Drosophila melanogaster: one gene and its partners. The protein of the gene in region 2 purifies or fractionates together with the protein of the main gene of each other region. This does not show direct contact. Each region holds a gene or a part of one and is shown on either strand. Other genes may lie near its edges. The genes, in order: Sirt1, dpn and insb.

Evidence for each region.
Region 1: the proteins of dpn (region 2) and Sirt1 purify together in Drosophila melanogaster (affinity purification with western blotting, with the first as the bait; one study listed by BioGRID). This does not show direct contact.
Region 3: the proteins of dpn (region 2) and insb purify together in Drosophila melanogaster (affinity purification with western blotting; one study listed by BioGRID). This does not show direct contact.

The regions. Positions count from the first base shown.
Region 1 is NT_033779.5:13,161,606-13,173,290, reverse strand, and holds Sirt1 (sirtuin 1), read right to left. Parts: upstream 7,728-11,685; 5' UTR 7,301-7,727; coding exon 6,091-7,300; intron 5,912-6,090; coding exon 4,650-5,911; 3' UTR 3,740-4,649; downstream 1-3,739. Other genes in the region: Sfmbt (Scm-related gene containing four mbt domains), read left to right, coding at 1-648, 726-975, 1,041-1,552, 1,626-1,978, 2,507-2,839; DnaJ-H (DnaJ homolog), read left to right, coding at 8,398-8,466, 8,529-8,975, 9,088-9,741; kmg (kumgang), read right to left, coding at 10,185-10,871, 10,929-11,685. UniProt on the Drosophila melanogaster protein: NAD-dependent histone deacetylase involved in heterochromatic silencing. Mildly suppresses the heterochromatin-mediated silencing phenomenon known as position-effect variegation (PEV). Required for epigenetic silencing of the polycomb group proteins.
Region 2 is NT_033778.4:8,225,629-8,236,648, forward strand, and holds dpn (deadpan), read right to left. Parts: upstream 6,703-11,020; 5' UTR 6,421-6,702; coding exon 6,295-6,420; intron 6,067-6,294; coding exon 5,971-6,066; intron 5,961-5,970; exon of another isoform or gene 5,476-5,960; intron 5,438-5,475; exon of another isoform or gene 4,875-5,437; coding exon 3,789-4,874; 3' UTR 3,343-3,788; downstream 1-3,342. Other genes in the region: CG34217 (uncharacterized protein), read right to left, coding at 2,571-2,987. UniProt on the Drosophila melanogaster protein: Transcriptional repressor of genes that require a bHLH protein for their transcription.
Region 3 is NT_033778.4:17,471,648-17,480,732, forward strand, and holds insb (insensible), read right to left. Parts: upstream 4,626-9,085; 5' UTR 4,320-4,625; coding exon 3,789-4,319; 3' UTR 3,567-3,788; downstream 1-3,566. Other genes in the region: qkr54B (quaking related 54B), read left to right, coding at 47-148, 208-428, 489-598; veil, read left to right, coding at 8,177-8,412, 8,470-8,620, 8,685-8,941, 9,004-9,085.

The DNA of each region.
Region 1 (11,685 bases), on a different chromosome or scaffold from region 2:
ACTTCAATGCGGCACCCGTCACTTGTTTTCCTCATGCACCCGGTTGCGAGGTATGGGACAATTTGGGCGTGGGCATGAAGGTTGAAGTGGAAAATACGGATTGCGATAGCATCGAAGTGATCCAACCGGGTCAGACTCCTACCTCGTTTTGGGTGGCCACCATCCTGGAAATCAAAGGCTATAAGGCCTTAATGAGCTACGAGGGTTTCGATACGGACTCGCACGACTTCTGGGTGAACCTCTGCAATGCCGAGGTGCATTCGGTGGGTTGGTGCGCCACTCGGGGCAAGCCATTAATTCCGCCCCGCACCATCGAGCACAAGTACAAGGACTGGAAGGACTTTCTGGTGGGACGTTTATCCGGAGCCCGCACCCTTCCCTCCAACTTTTACAACAAAATCAACGACAGCCTCCAGTCGCGCTTCCGCCTTGGCCTGAATCTCGAGTGCGTGGACAAGGATCGCATTTCGCAGGTGCGCCTGGCCACCGTCACCAAAATCGTGGGAAAGCGCCTCTTCCTGCGCTACTTCGATTCCGACGACGGCTTTTGGTGTCACGAGGACTCGCCCATCATCCATCCAGTTGGCTGGGCAACCACAGTAGGCCATAATCTGGCTGCACCGCAGGACTATCTGGAGCGCATGTTAGGTAATAATATTTACTTTTTCTGCATACATGTTTTTACATTACCATTTTAACATTTTACATACCATTCCTACTTCCAGCTGGTCGCGAAGCCATGATTGAGGTTCATGAGGACGATGCCACAATCGAGTTGTTTAAGATGAACTTCACCTTCGACGAATACTACAGTGACGGCAAAACCAATAGCTTTGTGGAGGGCATGAAGCTGGAAGCGGTGGATCCACTCAACCTTTCATCCATATGCCCGGCTACAGTAATGGCGGTTCTTAAGTTCGGATACATGATGATACGCATTGATTCCTACCAACCGGATGCCTCAGGGTCGGATTGGTGAGCTTTAAAAGCTTCAATTTAAGTCGGCAAATCTAAATAGCTTCTGTTGTATTTTTTTTTAGGTTCTGTTACCATGAAAAGAGTCCGTGTATCTTTCCGGCTGGATTCTGTTCCGTCAACAACATTTCGGTTACCCCACCGAACGGCTACGACTCTCGTACATTCACCTGGGAGGGTTACCTCCGCGACACGGGAGCCGTAGCCGCTGGCCAGCATCTATTTCATCGGATTATTCCCGATCATGGATTTGAGGTGGGTATGAGTCTGGAGTGTGCAGATCTCATGGATCCCCGACTCGTTTGCGTGGCCACGGTGGCGCGAGTGGTTGGTCGACTACTCAAGGTTCACTTTGACGGATGGACGGATGAGTACGACCAGTGGTTGGATTGCGAATCAGCCGATATATATCCAGTCGGATGGTGTGTACTGGTCAACCATAAGCTAGAGGGCCCACCGAGAGTAGCACATCAGCAGGCCCCGAAACCGGCACCAAAGCCCAAAATACAGCGAAAGCGAAAGCCCAAAAAGGGAGCAGCGGGAGGCAAAACTCCAACCGATAATAATACTCAGTCGGGTAAGTTTTTTTTTTCTAATCAAAGTCATTCGAATTCCTGTATATCATCATGCATCTTCAAATGTTATTCCAGTCAAATCGCGTACAATTGCGCTCAAGACCACGCCGCACTTACCCAAGCTGAGCATCAAGCTGGAGCTAAAGCCGGAGCATCACAATGCTGCCTTTTACGAGAACAATCAGCCCGAGGAGGAAGGCGACGAGGAGGATCCCGATGCGGATGGCGATGGAGACGGAAGCACCAGCCACATCTCCGAGCAGTCAACGACACAGTCGTCCAGTGATCTGATCGCTGGATCGGGCAGTGGAAGTGGGTCCGCCTCGCTGGTAACTCTCGCCACGGGCAGTAACAAAACGGTAAAGAAATCTACTACTAAATCTCCTGCGCCACCAACTGTGGGTCGCAAAGCCACTAGCTACATTGCGGTGAGTACTTAGCGGAATAATAGTGCGTAGAGTCATCCATCTAGCCAGCCAGCCTGCTTGCCCGCCTGAAGTTCAGCTCACGCATCTAAACGGGAGGTCCAAAGAGCATAGTGGTTTTTGTTTTAAACATTAATTAAATTTTATTTAGAGGAATTCCCCTTTAATTTATTTGCCTTTTTTTTTCGAAATAGAAGCATCAGCTTATACACCAAAATACTCCATATTAATCCAAGTTTGCCTTGTTTAGCTTAAGTTTTTGTTATTTCATATGAAATAGATTGTCCGACCCAACTTAAACCACTGTGCTAAAGCTCCGTAACACAACTGCATAAATGTATATAACCAAAATCAAATCGTTCATAAAACGCCAATTTGTATATAATTTAATTTACGCACTGTTATTTTTGGTACTTGCAACAGCCCCAATAGCCCCAACACACCGACATCCAATCGTTCCGTCACACACCCAACCAGCAATGCAACATCATACGTTAACTAATTAAGTCCTTATTTTTTACCCCACTATAGAACTCCTCTGCGACGAATAATAAGTACATTCCGCGTCTGGCCGACATCGATTCGAGTGAACCTCACTTGGAGCTGGTGCCGGATACATGGAACGTGTACGACGTATCCCAGTTCTTGCGGGTGAACGATTGCACAGCCCACTGTGACACGTTCAGCCGGAACAAGATCGACGGAAAGCGACTCCTGCAGCTGACCAAGGACGATATCATGCCACTGTTGGGCATGAAGGTGGGCCCAGCACTGAAAATTTCCGACCTTATTGCACAGCTTAAGTGCAAGGTTAATCCGGGCAGAGCCAGATCCCACAAGACCAACAAATCACCGTTTTTATAGTGCGCGGATTTTAGTTTTTTCAAAGCAAAACGAAAGTTATCACCGATAGAACACACACACACACTTTTATACGTGTACACTACTGCGTATGCATATATAATATATATATATATATATATAGATATATAGATATTGAAGTATTTTGTTAGCACTGGAAATCGAAACACAAACGTTGCCTAGAATGGATCAACCATCCATGATACAATTGTATAACTAACTCAAGTCTCACAGCGCGTTATTTTATACCGATTAAATTGTAAACCGTAGACCTTAGGCGTACGCTCATGTTATATCAGTCAGAGTTCTATATCAACAATTGTATAAAGATGATTGAATTGATGACAGTGACTTTTTTTAAATCACGCATATTTTTATAAAAATAAGAGTAATAACAATGCATGCAACACATGTATTCACATGAATATATGGGGAGATTGCATAGCATGGGCTTGTACAGTGTACATAAAATAAGCCGTCGCCGATTATATAGGACCCAAGAATATCATATTTTATATAGAAGCAAGCGCAAGCAAATAACCCAGGCAGCATGCCCTCAACTTTCAGTCGTAAACGGAGCGATTGGAAGTCGCTCCTAGTCTGTAAGATCCACGATTAACTAGCCGCTCTCTCCTTCGGTTAACTTCGTTCCGGTGTCACACATCTCTGCAAGGAGGGCATTATTGGTGTAAGGCAAACTTTTGAAGAAGGCAACCTTAATGATAAAATATGTATTTAGATATCCCTAAGGTACCAGCTAATGTCAAGATACTTTAATAAAACCGAATTCAAAATTGCAAGTATTGAAATATCGCCGACTAACTTTTATATGTGTTGGTTTTCTTTGGGTTTATATGTGCTCTACAGTCAAAACTCATTTTCATTTCTGTTTTTTTTTTTTTTAGATTGGTTTATATTCTGGATATTAATACACTTTTAAGACATATAGACTAAATTCTTACTGCTATGTTTACACTGCGTTTGGTGGCTATATATTTATGCTAGGTTTCGAATAAACATTTCAAACACGCACACCAAATTTCCAACTCTTATGAATATTTTGAAATCCATGCGCTGTTACATTTTGATGTGGGTGCGAGTGTATAAATGTTAAAAAATAGTTGCCATAACCGATAGAAATATAAAATGGTAAGGAGATAACACAAAAAAGTAGAAAAAGAATCATGTACAATACAAATTAGGGGCGAGTGCTTATATACAGAGTGTTTGTGTCTAGTTTTTAACTAAAACTAACGTATTTTTCCGTTTGCATTTGCATAGTTTTGAATATGTTACGCTTAGAACTAGATTTAAAGTTGAGGCGCTGCTTCTCTTTGAATACAAAGAAATCCTGCTTTCTAAAGGATTTTCAACTTTCCGCTTATCTCTTTAGTTTGTCTAAAAAGGCCTCAATAACAACTTAATATAATAAAATACTAACATTTACAGCGTTTCGTTTTGAAAAAGAGAGATAATAAATAAACTAAGAGTTTTTCAAAAATATCAAAACGGGATTGGGCATAAGGGGTTGGTGGTAAAGCAACGAGGGTCAGATCTCTAAAGCCTCGAATTGAGTAAACTAGTGGATCCGGTTTCATTTCTTGAAAACTTCGTGATACCGGGAATTGAAGTGTTCTCATATTCTAAATAAATAACAAGTAAACGGTTTACCGTTTCCGATTCCAGTACCTTTCCGGGGAATGAAATTGGTAACATGGCCCTCGGCTACGATTTCGCAGCTTCTCTGTTTACAAGTTGGCTTGAATTGCATTTAAAATAAATACTACACTACTAGCAGGGGCTAAGATTACGTTTACACTGCTGCTAACTGTCCTGGAGGCGGACTCTCCTCAGATCTTTCTATTTGGGTCTGCTGCTTATTTTCCTCACTTGGTCGCCGCTTCTTTAGTGGGGGAATTTCCGTTTCAATAGCGGGCGTTGGCTGCTGTTCTATAATGCAGGCGGTTCTTTTCTGGCCGGGACTGCTGTTGGGCAGCGGTTCGTTGGATCCATTCACTATATCGGTGACTATGTGAGCCTCCAGTGAAGGCGGTAGCAATGGTGACAATGGAACGGCGTTCAGATCACATGCATCCTCATCATCATCCTTATAATTGTGCCCCACATTGCCAAAGAGATCACTGTGTCTATTGTGTGATCTTTCCTCTTCTTCGTCATCATCATCGCTGTAATCGTTGTCCCAGAATACCTGGGCTCCTGGAAACACATACGAATAGTTGTTGGTGTGCGAATAGAATGTTCCAGGCTGCAGACGCTCGGCTGCTGTCTGTCGCTTTCCCCTCTGTTGTGGAATGGGCGTCAGGCTGGGCGCCACTGTCTTGGTCTCCTGAACAAGATTGCTGGGTCGCACGTAGCTAGGCGTGGCTTCGTTGTCGCACTGCTCGATGCCGCTATCCTTGGAGGAATCAATGGAAAGATGGCGATAGCTCTCCACCGTTGTCTGAGGGCCTTCCAGGCCCAGACGATCGCAACTTAGGGCTGTGGTCTCGTTCAGCTCAACCAGTATGTCTGTTTTAATACGTTCGATGGCTGCCGCTTCGGCGGCAGTGGAACGCTTTCCACAGCTAAAAGTAGATGACTCAAATCCACTATCCGAGCAGGTGCCAGCTGATCCTAGTATGTAGTCCGCCGAACTATTTGATTTAATAGACTGCGTATCCGTGTCCAGTTGCGACTGTCGCTCGCTCTCTGAACTGCAGTGGCGGTGGTGAAGTAGATGATGATGGAGGTGGTGATTAGAGTGCTCCGGAGGCATTAGCTCCTTGCTTTCGGTAAGCACTGACTCATCGCAGCACAGCTGCCGCCAGCAATCATCGTTGTCCGACAACCGGTGGCAAATCTGGTTGATGATCACATCGGAGTCGCCCAGCAGCTCCACATCGAACTTAAGGTGATGCAGCTGCTCGCGATTGATAAGAATCTGCGGCACCGTGGCCGGTATGCTGCTGGGAATGTGGGCCACAGGTCGGACCTTCAGCGAGGAGCCGATCACGATCAGTAGATCGCACACGTCCTTGTCGGTGGCCATGACCGTGTGGTACTCATCCGGCAGTCCTGTTGGCAATATGAAAAGCAAACACAATATGATATATGGTAAATAGCGTTACTTTGTATTTTCAATAGTTTATCTCTTAAATAAACACTTCTTTTGATCGTCGAATTTGAAATTCTTGCATTTATTTTACCAAGGCTATTGATAATATATAATAAATCTGTATAAAAATGGCACCTACCCTCGCCGAAAAAGACGATATCCGGCTTCATGATGCCGTTCTCGACCAGTTGGCGCAGCTCCTCCTCAGTAACGGCCACCGAGGCATCCACGCTCTGCTCCTTATTGGGCTGGCACTGCGGGCACACCGGAATTCGCTGGGCAAATATGTCCGCCCGCAGGGCGTCAGCGTTGCACTTGAAACGACACTTGGTGCACGAGGCCGTTGAAAAGGAGCCGTGACACTCGATTACTCGCTGAATGCCTGCCACCCGCTCGAGGGTGTCGATGTTCTGTGTGTAGTTGCGCAACAGTTTGCCCTTGGTCTCCAGCATTTTGATGAAACGATGGCAGGGTGAGGGCTGAAACTCGCCGGGATATATCTCGCGGGCAAACTTGTAGAACGGTCGTGGATCCCTCTTGAAGTAGTTGATATCAAACATGGCCTGCGGATCGGGCAGATCGGGAAAATCATGGGCCAATCGCGCATATATGCCATTGGTGGACCGGAAGTCCGGAATGCCGCAGGAGACGGATACTCCGGCTCCCGTTAGCACAATGATCTTCTGTGATTTCTTGACCAAACTGATGACATCGTCGAAGGTGTTCACTGAGGCCAGCTTGTTGCGCCGCTTCGGCTCGTTCAACAGGTGGGCCAAATAGTCCCACAGCACGGAGTCGTCGGTGTCGCCCGCCAGGCCGGTGGCGAAATGCGGCATAATGCTGGCAATAACCTGGCGCGGCACACGACCTGTGTAAAATTCTCGTTGCAACCAGCGCAGCTTCCAGTCGGGTTCCACGGATGAGGAGCAATTTGAGCTGGAGTCCTCATCCTCGTTGCTCGTTCCGGTGATTCCCTCCTCGTCGTCCTCCTCCTCCTCCTCATCGTCCTCTTCCTCCTCCTCCTCGTCATCTTCATCCTCGCCCATTGACTTTGTGGGATTTTTGGTTTTATGCTCCAAATTGGCGCCAATCTCTTGTTCTTCCCTGGCAGCCAATGTTTTTGTTTTGATTTCACCATTTGCTTTGCCAGCAAGTTCGCTTGTTGCTGGTTCTGTGGTTGTTGCTGTTGCTTCTGCCTCTGCCTCTGCCTCTGTTGACGTTGAGGCCAGAATTTCCGCGCCAAAATCAAACTTAGTTGGCGGATAGAATTGCGTAGTGTCTGGCACCTGGTTGCCCAGATCTTTAGACCTAATGTGGCCCAGGCGAATTTCCTCGTAATTTTCCATCATTTTTTCCGAACCCAAGCGCGCGCACACGCGCACACACACAGACTCACGGAGAGAAAACTCTCGTAGTTGGTGCTGTTGCTGGCTCTTCTTCTTCTTGCGCGAGTGTTTCCTCGGTCTCTCCGCTTTGCGCTCTCGCCTCGTCCGTTTTCTCCGCTCTTTCGTTGGTACACACAAAAATTTTTACGTCGTCAGCTTCGCACCCATTTGGCTTGATTGAAAAAATTCTCCAGCGATCGTTTGGCCGCGATTTTTTCAACCAACCCGACTTTATTTCACGTATATGCACGAAACTTAAATTTTAAAAAAATTTCGACACCATTTGGTTGCGATTTTTTCGTAATTTTCGAGCGTAGTTTCTGGAAAATTTTCCGATGAAAAAAGCAAGATGGCACACGTAGCTGCGCCTGTGTGTGTATGTGGGCTGGCAGACGTGATTCGGGTGGGACCCTGACACGTCGTGTGGAAAGTGCTAACGCGTTTCTGCATGGAAAGTGCCGCCAGCATGACTCATCACGGTATGTTTTTAGTATTTTTTGGGATTTTTGAGGGTGATTACGTGTTGCTACAGTGGCCACTGCCTTATGTCATATCTAATTTAATCCATTTCTTTAAAAACTGTTTAAAATATATCAATAATTTGTCAAAAAGTTAGTAAAATTAATTTTAAATTATGCTTCGAACTTTAATTTTAGCACTCTTTTACTTATCAAATTTACTCGATATTTAAACAATTAAGTAAAAATAATTTTTTTGTCCAATATTTACACATTTCATAGTAGTATTATAAATTGATGTATTGATAATATGCAGTTCATATGTCCAAAAACTTCCATCAAGCTGTTAAATACAAAAATGTGTAAACAGATTTCCAGAACGTTCCAGCAAGTGTCTACTGTTCCCCAAAAAAGCTGCGATTTTAAGTATTTATTTGGTACTTTCCCCAAAATTATAGGTTTTTGGTAGAACTTGGGCATACTTGTTAGCCAATATGACTTGAAAATATTGTCATAAATACATTGTTAAATAATTTAATAAGTCGTACACTTACAATGTACAAAATATTTTAGTTTGTAGGGGGACTGGGGATGCAATAGGAAATGGACAACCTAAATTTATACGACGTTCTTAAAGTGGCTCCGGATGCAACTGATGAGGAAATAAAAAAGGTATGTAACAGTTCCAATTCGATATGTTGGTAAATAGTTTGTATTCACCTTTTCACCAATAGAACTACCGAAAATTGGCAAAAGAGTTCCATCCAGACAAGAATCCCGATGCGGGCGACAAGTTTAAAGAAATATCCTTCGCCTACGAAGTGCTGTCCGATCCCGAGAAGCGGCGCATCTACGACCGATATGGATTGAAGGGCCTGCAAGAGGGCGCCGAGGGATTCTCTGATGCCTCCGAATTCTTCGCCCAGTGGTTCCCCTTCGATCGAGTCTCGTCCGAAGGTCGGGGCAGGCGCAATGGCAAAGTCGTGGTAAAAGTGGAGCTGACCCTGGAGGAGATCTACGTCGGCGGCATGAAGAAGAAGGTGGAGTACAATCGCCAGAAGCTGTGCTCCAAGTGTAACGGCGATGGCGGTCCCAAGGAAGCGCACGAGAGCTGCGAGACCTGCGGCGGAGCTGGACGAGCGGCCGCATTTACCTTCATGGGTCTCAGCCCCTTCGATACGGTATGTAAGAATTGATTGTAGTTGTAGTGAATGCACACCGCGGACCACACATCCGTGGAGATCCCATATACCACACTTCGGAGCAGATTATTTAAATTATTTTTTTTTGCAGACCTGTCCGACTTGCGATGGCAGGGGCTTCACCATAAGGGACGACAAGAAGTGCAGTCCCTGCCAGGGCAGTGGTTTCGTAGAGCAGAAGATGAAGCGGGACCTGGTTGTGGAGCGAGGAGCACCGCACATGCTAAAAGTTCCCTTCGCAAATGAGGGCCACCAAATGCGAGGCGGCGAATTTGGGGATCTGATTGTAGTCATCTCCCAGATGGAACATCCAATCTTTCAGCGCCGCCATGCCAATCTGTACATGCGAGACCTGGAGATCAACATCACGGAGGCCTTGTGCGGCTACTCGCATTGTTTCAAGCACTTGGATGGACGAAACGTCTGTCTGCGCACGTACCCTGGTGAAGTGTTGCAGCACAACCAGATCAAGATGGTGCGAGGCAGTGGTATGCCTGTTTTTAACAAGGCCACCGACAGTGGAGATCTCTACATGAAGTTTAAGGTTAAGTTTCCGGACAACGACTTTGCCACGGCACCGCAGTTGGCCATGCTGGAGGACTTACTCCCTCCCAGACAGCCGATAGTGATCCCAAAGAACGCCGAGGAAGTGCAAATGACGGACTATAAGCCGCAGCCACGACAGCAGGAAGACGAGGACGGACAGTCGTCTCACTTTGAGGGCGTACAGTGCCAGACGGCTTAGTGCATGTGGTTGTGGCTCCTGCAGGCGCGGTATCTCTGCCTCGATTTGTGGCTCATCCTGGGCACTTTCAGCGTAGATGAAGTCTGCTTCCTGGTGCCGCTGTTCGTCCTGATATGCATAGTATTATTTTTCATACAGGAATGTTTGCTGTGAAAAGCGCGTGATCTAAATTCGTAGTGTTATTATTCGAGACTAAAGCTTAGCTGATCTGTCACTAATACATTAGCCACGCTAAATTAACTATTAACTACTTATTTATTGGTACCTATTTTTTGGGCTGAACTTGCCCCAATTATCCCTACAAAACTATAAACGAATACACAATAATAGTTCTCTCATAGAAATCTTAAAAACCGGATAAATTTAAATCGATTTACGTATTTTTATTTAATTTTTAATATTGTTGCTGAGAATTGAGTATTCAAAGATTCGAAAGATCCGTTTTAATCGCTTTCATTGGATTCATCAGCGGATGTCGTTTCGTCTGATTGACCACCATCTGTCTTGGTCAAATTCATAGGCGACCCTTTGGGCTTTGGCATGACTTGTGATGAATTCAATGATTTAAATGACAAGGGTTCTAAATTTGGCTCCGTCTTGGCTCCCTCTTGCGGCAGCTCATCGCTGTTGCCTGCCAAGTCCTCCGTCTGGTCATCCCTGGGCTTTCGTAAATCCAGTGCCGAGGTCGAATGAGCACTATCCACCATCTCGATGATCTCCTCCGTTTCCATGGGATGATGGTCGTCTAGCTTCTCCGGCGGCATCACAATCATTTCACCCGTGCGCATTCCCTTCGAATCGGCCAATTGTTCGGCGCTTACCTTCATCATAGTCAGATACTGATTGTACTTGGCGTAGTTGCGCCTACCGGTCTCATCGTTCATCAGCACCTGGGCCTGGTTATGGGATCTATCGCGGAGGGCCTTCAAACGGATGTGCTTGGTGATGTCCCAGCGCCAGTTGGAGCGATAGGCGCACAGAGAGCATTCAAAGGGCTTCCTATTTAGATGACCAACGATGTGGACATGGAAGCGAGATGCAGTGGCTGCCCAAAAACTGCAATGAGGACACTTAAAAACCTTCTTCAATGGCGCCAAATCTTCGGGTTCCTCTGGCAAAACTTCTGTGACCTGAAATTAAAGGGATAAGTTTGCAACACCATGTACTTATATATATATGGACTTTACCTCCCCATAGCCAGGAGCTGTTTCTACGCCGCAATAACTGAGATCAGTGGGAGCATTGGGGAAGTCCTCATCGTGAAGATCCACCTCCGCGTTGATAGAAGCCTGCAGTTGGGTGGTGTTGTGCAAGGCCAAAGTGCACACTTGTAGATGGTTGATCAACTGCATGGCATTGCCCACCCGCTTCTGGCAGTGTGAACAAACGATCCCCGAAGTCCGGGGAAGCAGAGATTCTGTCGATGCAACGGTAGCACCACCATTTTTAAACGTTTCTGGTTTCCTGGAACCACTTGACTGCTGATCCACCAGATCCTCAGCCTCATCTCGGCTTCGGTTGCCCATTTGGTGAACCGGCATGGGCACATGATGGTTTGATTCGTGTATGGTCAGCGATTGTTTGATATCCGTGCTAAAGTCACAGCACGAGCACTTGAAATGGCCATTGGCACCATGGTTCTTGGTGTGCCGGTCTAGATTCCACTTGTAGGGTGTGTGAAAATCACATGAGCTGCACTTGATCAGTGGCATGGAATGGTACTTCACATGCTTTTTGAATCTGGCTCGAATGGGCGTGCTATATGAACACTTCTGGCATTGAAACTGCTCCTTACCCGACACCAATTCACGGGTATCCGGCGAAGGACTCTTCGCAGTCTCCTCGGAATCGGAGCTGCTGTTTTGCTGTTCCAATTTCAGGGACTCTGCTTGCTTAGGCGGCATTAACTTGGTCTGGAACTCGTAGGCCATGGAGAATATGTTG
Region 2 (11,020 bases):
GCTATAACTCGGGCAGCCTTGCTCCCTTTGTTATGTCCCTAACGATGTCCTTATACTATTATTTGCTTACACGTTTTACAAGCGCCTTTTGATAAATGAATTTTTAACATACGTGAATCTGTGTATATCCGAAACGTTTTGTGGATCTGTAAATTTAGTAGTCGGTAGATTTAGTTATAGCCCACGAGCTGAAGAGAAAGTTGTACATATTTTATACTTTTATTGCCCAAAAGCAGCCTAGTTAACATTTAAACGGAGGAATCATTCGAGCACTCACTAACAATTTGCCAATTAGTGAATGCGGGCGAAATCGAAATCGCCTCTTGAGATTGACCAAATATGCATTTAAATTAATTAAGTATTCACAAAGCCAGGACGAACAACGCCAGCACATCCAGAATATATCAATTAATGATCAAATTGCTTAGGAATAATTGCATCACCGAATATTTCACACATCTAGAATACTTATGACTACAAACCGGTAGCACTATTTAGTTTGCACGATTTTTAAATCAATCGATCTAAAACCTAAAGGGTTATACTGTAAAAATAATGCTCAGACTAAAGCCAAATTTTAACAATTATACAATGTAAAAATGATATTTATACATATAATGATGTATGTAATAAGTTAAGTAAAGCGCTAAACGATTAACTAACGCGCAACAGAAACGCACTGCAAATAAACACTGTAAAAATATAATAAATATGCATCAATTCGCAATAAATAGAGCTAAGGAGTGTTTCTTTTAGGCGAAATAAGAAAAGATAAAATAAAACGATACAAAGCAATAATAACGCCGCAATCATGCATTTTTTTCTCAAGGAATTTCAACGGCCCTCATATCCTGGGAAAACTAAGGGAGGCCCATTTCCACATTTACCATTGCGCAAAGCTGTTCAATCACGACCATCTCACGGATACCGATAGATACACTTGTTACGCACAAGAAATCCAAATCGGCCCAAGAAACGCAGATAGCTGGGTCCATTCAGGACCTATTTTTGTTTTGGCTGTGAGAAACGCAGCCGATTTGAATTTGCCGATGCACAGGTAGCCGGGATACATTTCATCCTTTTCTTGCAGCAGAAAAGGATCACAGGGGCATATTCAAAATGTGTGTGTGGGAGAGTTCCGCCGAAACACCGCATGACTTTGTTTTCCGTACGAATAACTCTATTGTAAGCAGGAGAATTTGTCTGTGGGAAAATCAGTGCCAGAGTTTTTGAATTTTTGGCAAGTTAATTTGTTAAATGACAATTAAATATGCCAAAGTCCCAAAGACAAAGAACTAAGGGGGCGCTAAGACGAATTCTGTTAATAACGCTGAACAAGTTTGCCCAAAAATTTTGTAGAGTGCCTAACTCATATACGAACGAACTGATGGGCGAGCGCGTTCCCACAGAGATTCCCAAGAATGAAATCAAAAGTAAAAACAAAAGTGATAGCCGAAACCCCACGGAAAACGCACAGGATTCCGATCCCAGCATCAAATCACAGCAAACACTGCGCACACAGCGCACAAAGGAATGAAACCGAAGGATCCAGCGAGACAAGTGGAATGCAAGGAGGCCAGCGGTGGGGGAAATGCGAACCACCACAAAGCAAACAAGCACAGATAAGGGATCTCAAGGATGTGTGGGAAACAAACGAGCAAGTGCATCGGTATTGGGAAATGCAAAAGGATAATAGCGTAAAAGGAAATGGAAATTATGATAATTTTTGATCGCTCGGCGAAGGTGTTGTTCCTTTCTCACAGCAGGATCGGGTAACAGCAGCGCCGATATGATTGAGTGTGGGAAGTACTGGGATCGAAATGTTGGAGGATCCGAGTCCCTAAACGGCGGGGCGACACTCGACAGCCACACGCAAGGCAGCCGCAGGACGAGAACAGGCTGTTGCGGAAGTTATTACGGAAGTGAAATCAAATTGTGAAGAAAAATTAAAAAAGGGTCGAAAGGGAAAGGCATTAAAGTGGAAACTACAAATTAATAATGGGATATGAGGATGTAAATCTATTTGTATCTGGATACCTTATTCAATCATTTTCATTAAGAGATCACAATGAACACTTTAGGTCAATTCTAACACGGATGTTTTGTTAGCCAAGTGGTTTTGCTAACCAACGGTTAGCAAAATAATTATTTATTGCTATTTCATTATTAATAAATTATTATTATAAAAAAGATATGTATATTAACGCATTCTATTTCTAGGGCTTAAGTTTATTAAAATCCTGTAAAATTGTTCATTTTATACAAAGGCCATAGGACATACTTTTGCCACAATATCACCCGAAATCGTACAGATAACAAAAAAAAACTTGATAGTCGATTTCCTTGACTATCAAAAATTTTACTTTACTTTAACTTTATTTTGAAATATCGAAGATAATACCAAAGTAACATAAGAAAGTAAAAAATAAAAACCTTGAATATTTGTATGAGTAAGAATTTTAGGCATTATACAATAGTATATAGTATGGTGTGGTATATTAAAATTCACTTCGTCTACTTTTGCATTGATGAAGGACTTATAATTAGAAAACATATTTAGAATTTACAGCTCAGACAGATCCAGCCTCATTTTCCTGTGTGTAGCCAAACAATCTCTTCAGCATGTTGTAGATTATCATTTGTCGCGTCACTTCCGCCTCGTACTTTATATAGTCCTTGAGACGATTCTGATTATAGAGCTCGTCCAGCAGATCGAACAACTCGATTTCGAGGGCTCGGAGTGGGGCTTCCAGTTCCGGGGTGTGGGTACCAGCGAACAAGGCCTGCATGTAGATGGTGGAGATCTTCTCCAGAGCGCCATCCAAGGTGTTCAGAATGGTGTCCTCGGGATCGTGTAGGAGCTTCACAGGACCCGTGAGCTTTGGAGAAGCACGGTAATGGTGCAGACCATCTTCAGAACTAGATGCCAAACTAATAGCTGGCAGGATCGCCACAGTTAGTAACACTTGAAACAGATTTCCTGGCATGGTAAAATTAAAATTTTTCAATTAAATTGTTTTTATAATTTCTGAGATTTTTCAATGCACGCCTGAAAGTCACTGCGCGCTCTTGATTGCAATAATTTAGTTTTTGACACACTAAATGTGTTCCGCCTATTGCTTATATAGCATGGATTGGGAGCTTTCGATTGAGTTATCTTTTCAATCAAACTTTGCGAAAACATCGAACATACATGATAAGGCTGTTTCCGTATTGATTTGAATTCAGCTTCCGACTTTTCAATGAGTTCAAGTACTATTGATTGTTGATGCGATCTTGAATTTTCCAATTCTAATCAGTTAAGAACCAAGGAACCATTAAATTTGGATGGATTTTTCTTTTGCAGCATTTTTTTTTTATTATCATTATTTTCACTCCATCGAATTTTGCATTACCTAAAAGTTAAAATTACAATCGTTAAATTAAAACACTAATATAGAAACGTGAATGACCTAATGATAAACGCTATACAATGAAAACTACATAACTTAAATAGAAACACGTTTAATTGTTTAAATACTTGAGCAGTTAATGAAACATTAAAGAACATAATTATTTAATGAACTACATAATAGTCGTATAAAGCGCTTAAACGAGAACTACACAAAAAATATACAAAATCACAGCTGAACTTAAAATGAAGAAAGCGAAACGGGGATACATAAAAACATATAGAAATCGTTGAAACTTAATGGGGTTCTAAAGCATTGAAGTGATCTTTGAAAAAATTGCAATGAAATAAATTAACAATGTATAAACGTAACATAGAAGTGGCCTGTGCGGTTGATCTACCACGGCCTCCAAGCGGAGCTCGACTTTTCGATGGCGCCAGCTAGGAATTTCTTGGACGAGGGCTCGTCCAGGGAGCAGTCGCTGGACTCGGCCTCCGCCTCCCTGTCGCGCTTGGCGATTCCGCTGGTGGAGCTCACTTGCTGTTGCTGCAAGTGGGCCAGCGGTCGCGAGCATCCGCTGCTGTCGTGGCTTCCGGCACTCAAGTTGAGGGATCCGCTGGTGTTGAAGGAGGTCTCCGCGCTGGTTGGTGGCGGAGTTGAGAAGACGCCGGCGAAACTGTGCTTGCTCATCACATCCACGGTGGGCGAGGCAGCCCGGGACTCCTCGCAGTGGCTGGAGATGGAGGAGATTGGGCTCAGCGGTGGGCTTGTGCTGTTCTTCACCGGCAGCTGCGTTTGGCCGGGCAGTGTGTGGATGAGGTTTTCCGGAAGATTGGCCGGAACTGAGGTATTGACCGGTTTGCTGAACGCGCTCATCCTGAAGCTCTGTGTATAGTCATTTAGATGTGTGGGATTGGCAATGCTGGCCAAGGCGGCACTGGCTGTTCCAGCTGCGACTCCCGCTGCAGATCCTGGCCAGGCAAAGGGTCCCGGAGGCGGAGCAGCGGAACCTGTGTTCGGCATGATGAGGGCAAACTCTCCCGAGGGCAGGCGGGAGGGAATTAGCTGAAGTCCACCCATTTGGATGGCCGGAGCCGATGACTCCGTGCGGCTGTTGTTGTTCAAGTCCTGCGGCAACGAGGGAAACAGCGGAGTGGGAGCAGCCGTGACAGCTGTGGCGGGAAACAAGCCACCACGGTATCCATTGCTGAAGTTGCTCATCGAACCGATCTGCTCCAGACTATTGGCACACTGGTTAAGATGGGCGCTGAGCCGCTGACGAACACCGGTATCGATGCCATCCATTTGGCTTACATAGCGGTTCACCTCCTCCGCGCACTCAACGAATCCCGTCTTGAACTTCTGGACAACGCTGGGATCCGATTGGATGGCCATGTTGAGCTGCTGGCGCTGCACCGACTGCAGATGCTTCACCGTCATCTCAAGTATGTCGGCCTTCTCCAGTTTGGTATGACGAGCCGGCTAAAAGTATAGAAGACGAAGGAACCAAAGTCAGATAATGATGAAATGGGGATGGGGTGGGAGATGGTCGGGCTAATTGTTTGGGGCCCTACAACAAGTTCAATAGCTTGGGAAAAAGCGAAGTTAAGAAGCACGTTTCGTGCCTCATATGTCCAACTATTCGCGTGTAATCTGCAGTCCACTTCAGTCGAGTCCACTCTGTAAATATCACACGACCAAGGTGAGATTCAGCAACTCCAGCGAGAAGAACGACTGATCTTGCTACTGTGCACTGAGCAAAAAGGGGGCTTAAAGTCAAATTTTCTGGCAAGTGAATACTAATGATGGAAAAGTGACTGTCTTTAGTAAGTGGTTCTAAAATAAACTACTCGCCGATCTTATCGTTTGTGATCTCATATGAAGACTTTTTGGGCACAGAAGATTCCAAATCGTTCTTCCTGATCTTCTTTTTTCGCGCAGTGCGATCTTCGCCAGTCTTCGGTCCCCGATTGTTCGTCCCTTTCTCGCCGCTGGGACTGCATATTTTAGCAAAAGGTTCCCACGCAGGTCGCTCGCCAGCCCCGCCCCCTCAACCTCCCCCGCTCCCCTGTCTGAACCTTTTGTTTACTTTTGCTTTTTTCCCTCAATGTCTTTCTTATTTGATTTTTGGTCCGGCTCTCCTGCAGAATTCTGCGGCGGCAAATTTTACTTGATTTCTGCTTTGTAGTTTCTCACAGCAGGATCACTCCTTGGAAACTGGTTTCGTTCGCATCTCCGGCGATTTCTGCGTAATTCCTCGACTTGTTAACACTTTTTGGTCTCTTGACTGACTCCTCGTCGGCGCTCTAGTGTAATGATCATCAATAAAATTTAATACTCAATTAGAGCCCTTGGTTTGTGTTTTTTTTTTCAGTTCTTGTGTCGTAGGAGTTCGTTTTTTATACATTTTTTTGTTCTTTTGTAGTTCTGCCGCCCTTCGGACACTTGTGCCTTAAAGGTTTTTTTTTGTGGACTAACATTATTTATAAGAAAGTGAACCAAAAGGGATCGGGGGCTAGTTTCTAATTCGCGGGCGGACCGCTCCTTTTCTGCTTTGACGCTCGGGCAAGATACTTACGTCTTTTTTCATCGCCTCCAGGATAAGGGACTTCAGTTCGTTGAGGCAGTGATTAATGCGAGCTCGGCGACGTTTCTCCATAATCGGTTTGTTGGTCTAGAAAAGAAAGGGAATCAATTAGTTTATTTCGTAGGAATTTATTTCAGTTTAAGGGATATCTTTGTTTATATAAAACAAGGGTTTCACTTGATTTTTAAAATTAATTTAATGCTTTACATTTTCTAAGCCATTAAAATGAAAAGGTTCAAAACGATCGAGGGTGCTAATAAACTCTGCTATTTTTTAGTTTGCGAGTCCAATTTCATCGCAAAAGAGCGAACTCACCTTTCTAAGTTCTGCTTTTGACAATCCATTGGGATTGGACATGCGTCCATTGGAGCCATAGCTGTCGCTATAGCCGTTGGAGCAGTCGAAATCGTCGTCGGAATTAATATCGTTTTTGTAATCCATTTTGTAACGATTTTAATTTGTATATCCAAGTGGGAGATAATCCAAGATAGTTCGATTTCGATTTGGTCTTTTTCACAACACAATAACTTTGGTTCGAGTACGAAAATAGTTATAACAATTATTGCACGTACTTCTTAGTAATGTCCGAACAACAAAAACTTAACAAGCGGTACGCGTTAAAGATCGTTCTGGTTATCGAATCGTATAGAATAGTATTTTAAATGTTCATTCAAAGGAGAGCGGCAGACGACCGCGCTCGCGAGATGCCAAAAGGATACTGATCCTCCGAGTCCACGGGCACCAGCTAAAAACGAATCGGGTCGAAGCCGAAACGAGTCCACGAGTGAAACCGAGGGACTCTCTTACCTGGCGACGCGGGCAGCGGCAGAGGCAGAGCTGAGGCAGGTAGGCAGCCCAACGATCGCCGTCCGCAGACTGAGAACTTTTCACCGCAGCAGCGCAGTTGCGCTCAATCGGAGAGTGAGTGAGTGCATAACCACCCCAAATCCAATGAGTTCACACTCGGAGTGAGATTTAAGTGAGTATTTGAGTAGGTATTCCCAGGCAGGCAGAGTTGCCGAGTCAACGAATTGCGGATTCCAGGGGATTAGTGAAAATAGGAGCTTAACTCAAGTAAACGAGACTAAGTCGAGCCTGATCGAGAAACAACACAACATTCGGTTAAGCCAAGTCATTAGCCTTTGGCTTGACGAAACCCACAAAATTTAGTTGATTTTATTGTAAAATACAGCAAGCATTGTATATTAAATAATTTTGAAGGAAATTAAGCATTAAAATCAATAACATATCATTAATGAATTTAAAGTTTATTACAATTTAACAAAAATTTATAACTGAATTTAATCTTCTAATTCGTGTCGAAGCCGACTTAATACCCAATCTATTTGTTTTAGAATATTCATATATTTAGCAATAATTATACAAAGCTACTATAAATCTTATGAATATTATTACTTTACTTTTTTTTACTTTTTACTTGCTTATTACTTTTAATGAATTGATTAAAGCAATAGTTAACAAAAATATGAACTATATTCAGAGAATTAACAGCGATTCTTCTTTAGTACTTGAAATTTGCTAAAGCAAAGCAAAAAATCTTTAGTTCCTTAAAAAATGTATCAAGTGAGATTTTCTATAAGTTATCAGTGAGTAGCATTATTTGCGACAGATGTTCCGTTTGTGTCCGTTTCCCTTTTGGGTGGCTGGCTGATGGCACATTTAGTCGCACAGATTTCACCCTTGGCAAGGACAAACTTGATCAATGCCCGGCGAATGATTTGCAATTCATTAAGGAGAACTCCTTGGCAATTGTTCGGCGCAGCTGCCGCAACCCCCGTGACAACCCAACCCCCTTGCAAGGCGAAATCCTTAGTTTCAAATTCTTCGCTTTTGCCTGGTCGGCTCATCGGCAGAAGCGTCTTAGGGGGTTGCTTGGGTTTCGGGACGGAATCGCGACTTGCAATGGATCGGAATCGGACCTGGATCGGTCGTGGGTCTGGGACTGAGGGTCGGGGTCAATCATTACGGAGCTTACCTGGCTGGGCCAATTTTTATAGTCGATCCCCGGCAGATTTTCCTTTTTCAGGCAAATTTATTACTTTACGATGTTGGCAGGATTACGACCAAAGGAGTTGTCAATAACCACTGACGCGGGCCATGCGCCAGCTGACAGCTGACGTAGATCTACCTATGGACCGATTTGGGGAGTTTTGGGTGGGATCGTAAACGTATTGCGCCGCCTGGCAACCCTGGTTGTGCAAAGTGATCCCTCGCGGCCTGAGCGTAAATCCCGTGTTGAGCAATAATCTGTGGCGATCATCCATCATGCACAAGCTCTGCAGCACTGATCCGATGTCAACTTTCGTAAATTGAATAAATGCCACGGCTACGATTGACCAACTAAAACATCCACAGCAACTAAACCATGGGGTTCGGCTGAATTCTGCACTGATGAGCACATCACCCTGCTTAATGGCGATCACTTTGGCTCCTTTGAACGCCGCAAATTTGGCAAACATTTTCCCACGAAACCCGAAATAAGCACGATGAGCTGGCAAAATGTAAAAGTGCCATGGGCCAGGGAGAAGAAACCTCAGAACCATCCGACATATGTGGATCAATCGTCTGGCGAAACGTGCAGAGTCTGCAGAGCTTCTTCAGAAACTGAGAATTGAAATTCTATAACGAAGAAACCAGTCAGAAATCAAAGTTCAATATCAGCCCCAAACGCCGCTGCTGCTGTGGCTTCTCCTCTTTCTTTCTTTCCTTTTTTTTCTTATTCCCGGCCCAGGGATCAAGGTAAACGCCATTTAGTGTGGCACGATCGCTGACGATCGGTAGCCAGGCTTGTATCTGTATCTGTCAGTCCTCCTTTTTGGGGCTTCCCGGGCTCGGATCCTCGGTGCGTCGTTTCCAACGCACGATTTACACATTAAAACACTTTAATTTTTATTGTACACCCGGTCGGTTGGGAGCTTCGATCTGTCGACCAGTGACGATCTACTTCCCTCTTTTTTAATCAATTCTGAGGGCACCGGCAGACTAAGACGGAGATGGAGACCTTTCTCAACCTCAAATTAGTGACTTTGGGGGTATGTATTTTTAGCTGTGGGAACTGCAGTTATTACTTGGGGTGTGCTAGCTGCAACTCCCCCGTACCTCTCATTCATACACATACATAGATATGCACCAGAAATAATGAGCATGAAAAATATGAAACGGTAGCAAATGTGTGAACTGATCCAAACGGAACTAAACCCAAGTGGATTACGGATGCGGGGGCAGGAGAAGAACTCCTCCTTTGGCCAAGATATATGTTGATTTAAATGAATTCCTTGTTGATTTTTATGGCGCTTAGCGACGAGGGGAAACCTGAGTGAAGTGTGCGGTCTGCGGGGCATTAGAAGTCGTGACGGGCCGCCCAACTATTTGATTGTTTTTCTTCCTGCTGTGGGAGATTTCATTTTTATGAATTTGATAAATGGCCAGCCAGGAGTCGGGCTAATAACTGGAAAGTTCTTTCTGACAGACTCCAAAAAGGGGGAAAAGTGTTTTCACCCAAAAAAAACAAAAGATGCAATAATTTATATGCTGAGGGGATTCGTCACACATTTGGCTTTTTTTATCGCCTTTAGCTATATATATTTGGGTGCACAATCTAACTTAAATATTTAAAACTTTTGTCCTTATGAGAAAATTAAGGTTTGTTGACAAACGGAAAAGCCAGACATATTGGAATGTTATTGGGTATAGGGAGCTGATATTTCTTTTTAGAGCTTCAATTACAATTTTCATGTTATTGTCAGAAGTTTTTTTTAAATCTAATGGAACGTTTTAAGCTGATATCTATTCCATATGCTATTGGACTTCAGGAACACTTTCACATTTATTGGGCGTACCCTAAATAACTAGCACACATGATGGGCTGGGTCGAATCCATATCATTGATTCCATTGATTGGTGACCCATGCCAGCTGATGTAACGGTCACTTGGTGGATCAGCTGCTCCTAAGCCAACATTTGCACTAAACTGTCCTTGCTCTCGTGCCAAGAATTGGCACAGCTGCCGACTCCATTCTCCCGGCTGCATCCCCCGCCACTTCTTCGAGCCACGAGAACAATGGACTTGGCCCGGACAATGGTCGGCGCTAAGAAATAGTGACTTTTCAGGGGCGCACGGGTTTTCCTCTGGCTTCTAGCGGGCCCTAATTGCTGGCAAGCATCTTACATAATATTGAAGAAGATGCGTCTCCGAATGGATTTCGTATGGAGTGTGCCTGATGCGAAACAGCTGCTCAAGATCTCAAAACTATGAACACGAGGAAGGGTTGCGGGGAGATTAGGTGGGATTTGTTCGCTGTAAAGATTTGCGGTTGCAGTTGCGGTGGCACATTTCAAGACCTAACATCTGTCGTAAAAAACATCTAGTTTCGAAGCCCCCAGCCAAAAATGAAATGTATTTAGCATTGATGAATACGATAATAGAAAATCAACTTTTTAGTGCTATAAAAAAGTAGTGCTATAAAAAAGTACGAAAGTACATACGCGTATGTTTTTAATCGTTAAAGATGCACCCAAAAAAGCAATATAAAATTAGTTTAAGGAAGCTAAAGTAAATATACATATAAATAGACTTAATGAATAAAATCGACTTTCTCCTTATATTTTGGGTTAATCAAATGGTTTCGGATGGTCATAAATGTTAAATGTATTAATAAAGCTTAAAATAAAGTTTGATAAAGAATGAAAAAGAATTCATTAAATAACTTTTTAGAACAAAAAATATGTATTGAGATCATAAAATGCAATCGACAATCAAATTAGTAAGAATAACAAGAAACAAGGGGATCTCTAGCCACAAAATTCCACAGAACTTCCCTCGATTTACCTTTTCCCTTGACGACAACAACTGTAAATCCTCCAATAAGTACAGTCATCCCCTAGGGTAAAAATCGAGCCACCGCGAGTCATATCAATTCATAAATGCATATTAATTCCGATAGAGGCTAAAATTAAAACAGGAGTCGCTTTGGAATAATGTGAGAAAAAAACTTTCTCACGATCACCTTGTTGTCGCGCA
Region 3 (9,085 bases), 9.2 Mb from region 2:
GCGTCAAAAACGTACCTAACTTGTATCTTTCGTTAACCCTTTTTAGGAGCTCACAGCCGTCATCTTTTAGTAAAAATGTTCTGGCTCCGAAGCAGAAAGTGATGTCCATATTGGAAAAAGCCAGGACGGCCATGGACGAAACCTATGGGTATGTTACTTAGATATAGATATTATCAAGGATTCATACTTAACAAACACATTTTGCAGTCGGGGCTATGACGACGGACTTGGTTATGATCCCCACCAGTCGTACGATAGCTACTCCTATGGCACTCATGGACATGGACCCCATGGACCGCCAGCTAACATTCTGGGCGGAGTGGGCGGCATCAGCGGTGGCGGTGGTCGGGGTGGGCACTACGAAAGCTCCGACTACGAGCCGGATTATGGAAGACGAGAATACTATCAGCATTCACCCGGCTATTCTGGTGAGTTACGGAGTGGTTACCTCTACAGACAGTATGTTACTTTTCGAGTCATCTCTTCAGCTGGCGGCGGCGGAGGTGTAGGTCTGGGCACTGGCGGCGCTTCTCAATCAAATGCCATCGGCGGCTCTGGTCTCAGTTCCAATCACAATCGCAGCCATGTTAACAGGTGAAATTTGCTGGACCCTAGTAGTGCCAGCGGAGGTCGAGGTACAAACCCGGCGGCAACCACCCAAAATTTGACCATGAAATCCCAACCCAATAGCAGCAACAACTTTTTGCCAAATCACGGAGCAAGTGAGTGCCAAAATGGCAAGAACATAAATCCCAACTACTACTACAATTCCAACGGCAGTTCCAAGGTGAGTACCCAACTGATAAACAGACTGATCCATAAAAATAATCCCAACTATCTTTTAGGTAAATCAGCAACAACTCCAACAGTCGCAACCAAATCTCCCACCGCAGCTATCAGGCCACAACAACAACAGCAGCAATGGCAGCCGGGCCAGCAATATGATTAACACCAGTAGCCACAATAATTGCAATAGCAACTTTCACCCAGTCGGTGAGAAAAACTCCAACGACGTTTCATTTATATCCTCCTATCGACTTGGTCCAATGGATGGCCAAAAGAGTGCCAACAGCAACAATATCAACAATCACACATTAGGCAGTAAAAACCACAGCAACAACACCACCACAACCGCTTCAGTGCCCAATATGCTCTTAGTAAGGTATTGAAATGCGATATTATCGAACGCAGAAGAGAACTCCTTCGTCCTTGCACACAACCCACACTAAATCGATGTCTTTGGACAATGCAAATGAATACACGGGCTTTATGTGAATCCGCTTGCTTGCTTCTAACATACATATACCTCTCCGCTTATCCGTCAAAGTTCCCGTATTGATTTGCATTGATCCGAAAACGCAAAAAAAACCCTTTCGATTATACACCGCAAATCAAAGACAAGAACATCTCTCTAAATCCAAATTAACATTCTCTTACAGACCTGCTAATCCTTCGCTACATATTGGCACATTTCCGTTCTTGCCCGTGCAGTTTTTCTGAACCCAACAGATACAAGAACTACAAGCAGAACAAGCAAATCGAAAAATCACATCAACATGAACATCACAGAAACTTTGTACACTTGAGTTCATAAGATTAGAGGAAGGCGTAGGAGGAGTATTTACAAAATGGACAAAATGAACTTTACGATATATACCACATACAAAACATATACATAACAAATATATTTATACATATATTTTTGCGTGCAAGGATTAACGTTTAATGATGATGAGGCTGGATCAACAAATCGAAAACCATACTTTCGCGTTGGCTATAAAACACAGACGAAACTGTGTCCAGTTTTTTATCTCTATTTACAAACCATCTTAAAGATACTAAAGAGCCTGAATGATTAGTGGGAGCTGTATTCGGTCGGGAGTGATCAGTAGTTAAGCACACGGCTCAGCTCAAAGTTGAGCTGGGATAGTCTGGCGTACAGATGATACAGAGCGAATCCAGTTGATACAGCAAGACAAAGCTATGTATAGGGAAAGAAGGACCCGACTGACGGTCGGTAGAGACAGAATCTATGAGATTAATTAACTTAATAGAATATAATAATAAATACAGAGGGCACACTTAAACCATAATTTTATTTATATATGCATATATTTAACAAAACTAACGATACAGATAAAGAATATATATATATACACTTACAAATTCTAATATTTACATAATTAACAGAGATCGACTAACCCCATGTTGACACGAAAGGTAACAGAATAACCCTAACAAAAATTATCTAATACTCGAGCATTCAGAATTAATATATCGAATACTAAAGAACTACAAATAACTAACAAATTACAAAATATATACAAGTTTATTGTGAAACAATGTCCATAAGTGGATAGTGCTGCAAATGATTACTTTATTAAAACACCAGATACGAAAACAATAACAGAGTAAAAAAGAATACTTAAACGCAAGCGTAAGCGTATGAATAACAAATACTCCATTTACTTATACACGAATATAAAGTTCTAACTAAACCAACAATGTAACTCAATACAAAATTAACGTAATAACAATGTAATTCAATGTACTTAACACATTTAACCCATGACGCTGGATAAAGCAAAGTAATTAACCCAAAATTTCGTTTCCTCAATTGTTCAAAAATGAGTCGTCTGCTTTGTCCAGTTGTCTCCATTAATTATACACTGAACTAACAAAAGTAACAAAACTAAACATAACTCGTAATCGACAATTTGATCCGTTGCCAAAACTCAAAATTTCGTTTCCTGTTTTCTCACTTTAGTTAGTTTTTAGATTAATGAGAATTCTCTGTAGAGCTTAAGTAGAACCAAGAGAGTGTGCCAAATGTTTGTAGGAAGGGATTCGGAGGGAGTGGATGGCAATGGACGGATCCCTTCCCGGTCTGAAATTACCAATTGAAATGCCAATTTATAGATATTATCATTTTTAATATTTATGTAACCTAATTTGAGTATCGAGCGAATAAAGTTGGCATTGCTAACGCAATGAAATAAACATATACTCGAATTCGAATAAGAAGATGAATAAAACGATATCTTGTCCAAAAACCTTAAGAAACATTTACTTACATACAACCATGTGAAACGTTAAATTGTTAAAAACAATTAAAATCTAGTTTTAATGAAATATCAGTAATACAGATAATACAAAGGAATTACAACCATTTATTACAAATAATTATCGTTGTTACAAATTATACAGATAACTAATATGAAATTATAACAAATGCTACTTTAGGGCGATTCCCCAAGCCCCCAGATAATTTATGATACCAAGTTAATGAAATAACCGAACAACAAAAACACCCCGCCCTAACAACAATAAGAATATATACACTTATATGATATACATACCTACAAAATGAATTCAAAGAAATAATATATGGCGATTGAGTTATTCTCATTAATTATTATATGTAAAATTAAATAACACAAGTAATAACTAAATGAATAAATAAATATATTTAAAATGTATCGAAAATCGATGTAGTAGAGTGTTTTTTTATTCCCAGCTAGGATGGAACCCCCCAATCTTAATTAAAACCTCTTCCTTTATGTTTTACTTTCAATATACATAATTTATTTCGTTGTTGCTTATGTGTTTTATATTGCTTTACAATAATTGACTAGAGTAAATAGCTTAGGAATACCCAGATCCCTGTGTTGCATAATTTCCACCCCCGGAAAGTTCGCAACCCTTGGTTTCTCTCTCTCGTTTTACTTGCAATGAGATCGCAGCAAAGTGACTAGAATGAGGAGGAGTTCCTGCCCTCCGGTTTGCTCTCAGGCGTGCAGAAGTCCATCGCTTTGCCCAACCAATTTCCCAAGGAGAGTCTGGTAGAGTGGCGACTCCGTGGGTATTCCCTCGCTCTGCAGAAACAGCAATGTTTCTCTGGCACACATGGCAAAACCCAGTGCCTCCGCCTGACTCCTTTGGGCTGGCGTCGGTGGCGCAAACTGGGCCGCCACCTCGGCATCCTCGTCACTTTCCTCAACATCCTCCGCTTCAGCTCCGGCAGCCGCATAGCCATCTCGATCGTTTAGATCCTGCTCAAAGGCATCCAGCTCCGCTTGCAGCTCCATTATTTTTTGCAGCGCTTCCAGAAGGATTCGATTGGGGGCATCTGGCGGGTTGGGGCAATTCTGCCCTGGCTCTTCTGCTGGTGGAGTTAGAGGACGATGGCGTTTCTCCGGAACCGCTTCAGTCGGTTGCTGCTCCTGTTGCTGTTCCTGCGGCTGGACACGTTGCTCCTGCGCCTGCTGCTGCTCCTCCTGGCTGGCTCGCTTGCGCTTCATGATCAGTTTGCCCGACATGCTTAGAGGATGATCTACTAGACTTAAGCTGCAATCGTTTGGTTTTCCAACTCGCTCCTGCGCGACACAACCTTCGTTCACCTGGCGATCGCCACGACTGAGCTGCGACCAACTGCACCCCGGCGACCAACTGGCAACTGCCGACTCCAACCCCAAAATGCGGCAGGGACCAGAGATAGTGGCATTAGGGGATGTGCCGCGCCAAGGAAATTAAAAACAACAATCCATCGGCAACCAAAAAAAAAAAAATTGTTGCAGCTGTTTGAGTTGCGGCAGCTGAAGCGGGAGGGCAACAGGATACTGGCTACAGGCCACAGCCTGAACGGCAGCAGCAGGATATTGCAACCCTCAGCTGGCGCTGCCTCTCTCTCTACCTCTCTCTCTCTCTCTCTCTATCTCTCTCTCTCTCTCTCTTTCTCTGCCGCTGCAGCAGCCGCGCTCCGAATATCCTCCCTTCCTCCGTGCATCCGTCCTGCACCCCATCCCCCCGGGATCACAGGCGCGCCCTGCTCGTCCTTTCCGACCTTTCAGTTGTTGTTGTCCCGTGTCCGTTTCCTTTCGGTGCGGCATAGCCGATTCCCAAGTTACCTTCCTATGTCCTTTTTTTTAATAGGGTTGCATTGAAGGGTGTGTGCGAAAATAAAGCATTTTAATCAAATTTTCTTTTTTTTACATTTTAAAGCAGACATAAATAAATTATCAATACCTTACAATCTTGGGTAATCAAGTTTTGAGCGTATAAATTTTCATGAATTTTTTTTGAATGTATAAGTTGTCAATTTAATGACGAATTAACTTAATTGCTACAAATAAACGAATCTGGACTTTTAATTCAGTTGATTTCAAATGAGTTTCGATCTGGTTTTAGCGAACAACGACCGATATATGTAATTGCTTAAATTGCTTTTCTTGGCAAAACGTGCACTGCTGACGCACTTAAAGAATAAGTTATTCAGGTTAGACAGTTAAGCTATTTAGGTAATATTTAACGTATCCGTTAAGCATTGTATTCTACCAATAAGCTACCTAAAATTTTGTTTGTGAACTTTGATCACTTGAACTTTGATCACGATGCTTCTTTACGAATATAGATTTTCGTATTTGCATACAAAATTCGTTTAATGTGCATATTTGTAGGAGATTCCCCAGTGCGGTATGCCCGACCATGATAAGCATTTGCAGCTGGCACGCTTCACATTCATCTCTTCGATCGGCACTTCCCCTGCGAGTTAGTTTGACCTGCCACTGCAATGATAAGTGCACACCTAAAAGCACTGCGAGAAATTTTCGAATTTCGTTGTCATGGAAATTGGTATGCGGTATGAGTTAGTTTGAACGAAATCACGTTTACCTCCGTTGGCATGGAGAACCAATTCTTATCGGCTTTATTGCCGATTGTTAACGTAGTAAAGGTGGAGTGGTCCCAAAATGCTAATCGATAATGCTGTCAAAATTTGGAATGAACATAATTCGCTTTATGGTTTATGTCCGCGCATTGTGTAATCATGACCATAATTTAAAATAAAGGGATTTATATTTTGGGTTTGTTGGAAGGGGGAAGGGGGGAGTGCTGAAATATAAGATGACACCATAAATGAAGAATCTCCTGTCCCAAGAAAAAAAAAAAGAAACAATCTCATTGATAGCAATAAATGTTTATTTATGGTCAAGGAAATTGGGCATTATTCGATTTATTTGGGGCTGCGAATTTGACACTATCTCAGCGAATTGTTGTTTCGCAATTTCGGAAGGGGCATTTAAATAATCACGCCCAGACGTCAAGTCTGTGAACTTATGATATGGATGGATTGGATATTTGCATTTAGTATGTCGGCAATGGTGTGTGTACACATTATTTACTTGATAAGCACTTGATGTTGTTAAGGGCGTATCAAAATTGAATCATATATATTATTTTTATCTCATTTTTATCGTACACTTGACATTGTGTAATATTGCGTGCTGGTTTTCCTCTCCCCATTTCAGTTAAACTTGGCCGAAGCATCTTCTATTTATTTTCGAACCAACTCAATTGCTGTTGTATCTTGTATCTTTCGGATATATTTAGGCGACATCTCGAGCAGGAAAGTTGTACCTTTCCCTTTCGTTTTTGAGTTATTTGCCCGAACACAGGCAGCAAATAGTAAATAGCAAATACATTATCCACAGCCGCAGCTGTCGTGTGTCTATTGAGCCATTATACATACTATATGATTGAACAGTTTGAGAAGCACGCGACAAGTGGCAGCGGATAATTTGGGGATGAACTGTGGCCCAAAACCCGGCAATTGTGATCATTTCGTGTGGGTAGAACTTCGCAGTAAACTCATAAAGTAATTTACGCGGCTGTTGAGTGAAATTCATCTTTCCAATATTTATCTATCCTTCCATTTTGGCGGCCATAAATCTGTGCAACAAGCAGGCCTCATTGTTCATCAATCGAATGTGCCTGAAAGTTCGCAGAAGACACTTGCTTGGAATTTTCGGGAAATTAATAACAAAGATCGGCTTACTCGGCACAATCGGCGGACTGTTGTTAATGGTGCGTCAATAAACATGTACAGTAAATACTCTAAATATAGGTAAGCAACCATGTTGCATATAATTTCGTGACAGTGAAAATGTTTTACTATGAAACAAAAGTGCAAATATTAATTACAGATATAGATATTCCAAAAATATCCTTTCGAATGCGTGATCTTTGATTCATGTGTTTAGATCACTTACAAGTAAATGCTGTTTGATGCTAGAGTTACGCCGAATGTAAATTCTCCGTAGCGAGCGTGCACTGTATATATTTTTTAGTACAATCCATATTTCGGCGTGGGAATGTCACGTTGTGTTTAGACAACTGTTGGGCCAACTACCTGCCTCTGTCTGAGTGGCTATGAGTCAGATAAATATATAGCCAATTCACCATTATCTGATCTATAACCGACGATTATCGCGCGATATGTCTGCTTCCGATGGCTTCCAAAACATCGAAATACAATGGGGTAATGCAGAAAGAGCATCGCATTGTCATTCTCAGCCAATTTAACCCGCAATCGCAATACGAGGCCTTATCGTAATCAGTCCGCTTCGCGAGGCAGTAAATTTCGGTTTTGCTGTTTAAGGTACTCGGCTTTATGTTTTCGGCTAATAACGGTTCTCGCACTCTCAGCCAATTTGGTGGGTCAGTCAGTTAGCCCGCGGACCGTGCGACGAGTGCATGTGAGTAGCGATCGTTGGTATTTGGTAATTCGTTGCTTCTGAAGTAACATCGATCGGGCCTTTTTGAGCCGAGTTAGCTTTTAGGCCAATGCCATGAGCAAGCTGAAGTTCGAGCTCGTTTCCGAGTTCAATCGAAAACCAGTTGACCGAGTGAAGTGGACCGCGATGGCAGAAATTTGTCGAGCAGAATGTGCTGGGGATTTGTGTGTTTTTTTTTTGCACACGCAAAGTGATAAGCGGCGATTAGATTTAAAACACCCAATAAACTATAAATTGCGATTTCTGCGCGCTCGTGATTGATAAATATTTGCCTCTCAGCAGTGGATTGGTGATAAGGTCGAAAAGGACCTTCAACAGTCTAAGTAGAAAATCTGGTTAACAACGTTTGAAGTGTTTCCATTACATGTGTAAAACCATTCGGATAAGAAAACGAACTAATACTTAAAACACGCTTCATTAAGTGGCAGTGCATTAATTTTTTATTAAAATTTTTAGATTTTCATGAGTGCAAAAACAATGATTATGACAAACCAGTTGCCGTGCGCGAATCAGTGCTTATTCACCGAAGATTATCCACCCACATTTCATCCCTTCGTGTGTGATAACTTATCAGCGATTGTTGTGTTTATTGTTCCAGCACCAAAATGTTACCTGCCCGTGGTCTCCTTATCGGATCATGCTGCCTACTGGCTCTACTGATTCATCCTGTGCAGCCGAATCCCATTGCACCCCGGGCGGAAGTTGCCGCCGAGTTCATCATTCTGCACAACAATGACATGCACGCCCGATTCGAGCAGACGAGTGTGACCAGTGGCACCTGCTCCAAGGAGGAGGCCAATACGGATCAGTGCTACGGAGGATTCGCCAGGGTGGCATACGAGTAAGTGCGGTCAGTTTGCCTAGAGTTCAACTATTCATGCTGATGAACTTCAACTAGGGTGCGAAAGTATCGCAAGGAGGCGGAGGAGGGTGGAACTCCAGTGTTTTATCTCAATGCAGGTGACACCTATACCGGAACTGCTTGGTTCACCGTCTATAAGGACAAGATCGCCAGTGCTTTCCTCAACAAGCTATCGCCAGATGCTATTGTAACTATTATTTTATTGTTTTCCGCATTCTCTTACTATATTTCATCAATATACCTTTCAATAGTCTCTGGGCAACCATGAGTTTGATCAGAATGTTGAGGGTTTGGTGCCCTTCCTAAATGCCGTGGAATTCCCTGTTTTGGCCTGTAATCTGAACCTCACCGATGTTCCGGAAATGGCGGCTGCCAAGCAGCTGGCCAACTCGACGATCCTCGAGAGAAATGGGGTGAAGGTTGGCGTTATCGGTTACCTTACGCCCGATACCAAGGTGCTTGCCTTTCGGAACAAAGTGGAGTACGAGGAGGAAATCGTGTCCATCAAGTGGGTATAGCTCAAATCCGCTGGAGAGCAAGGATGTTAATGCATGTTCATTTATTCCGCAGTGCGGAGGCCGCAAAGCTAAAGGCTCAAGGCATCAATATCATCATCGCTTTGGGTCACTCTGGATACCAAAAGGATCAGGAG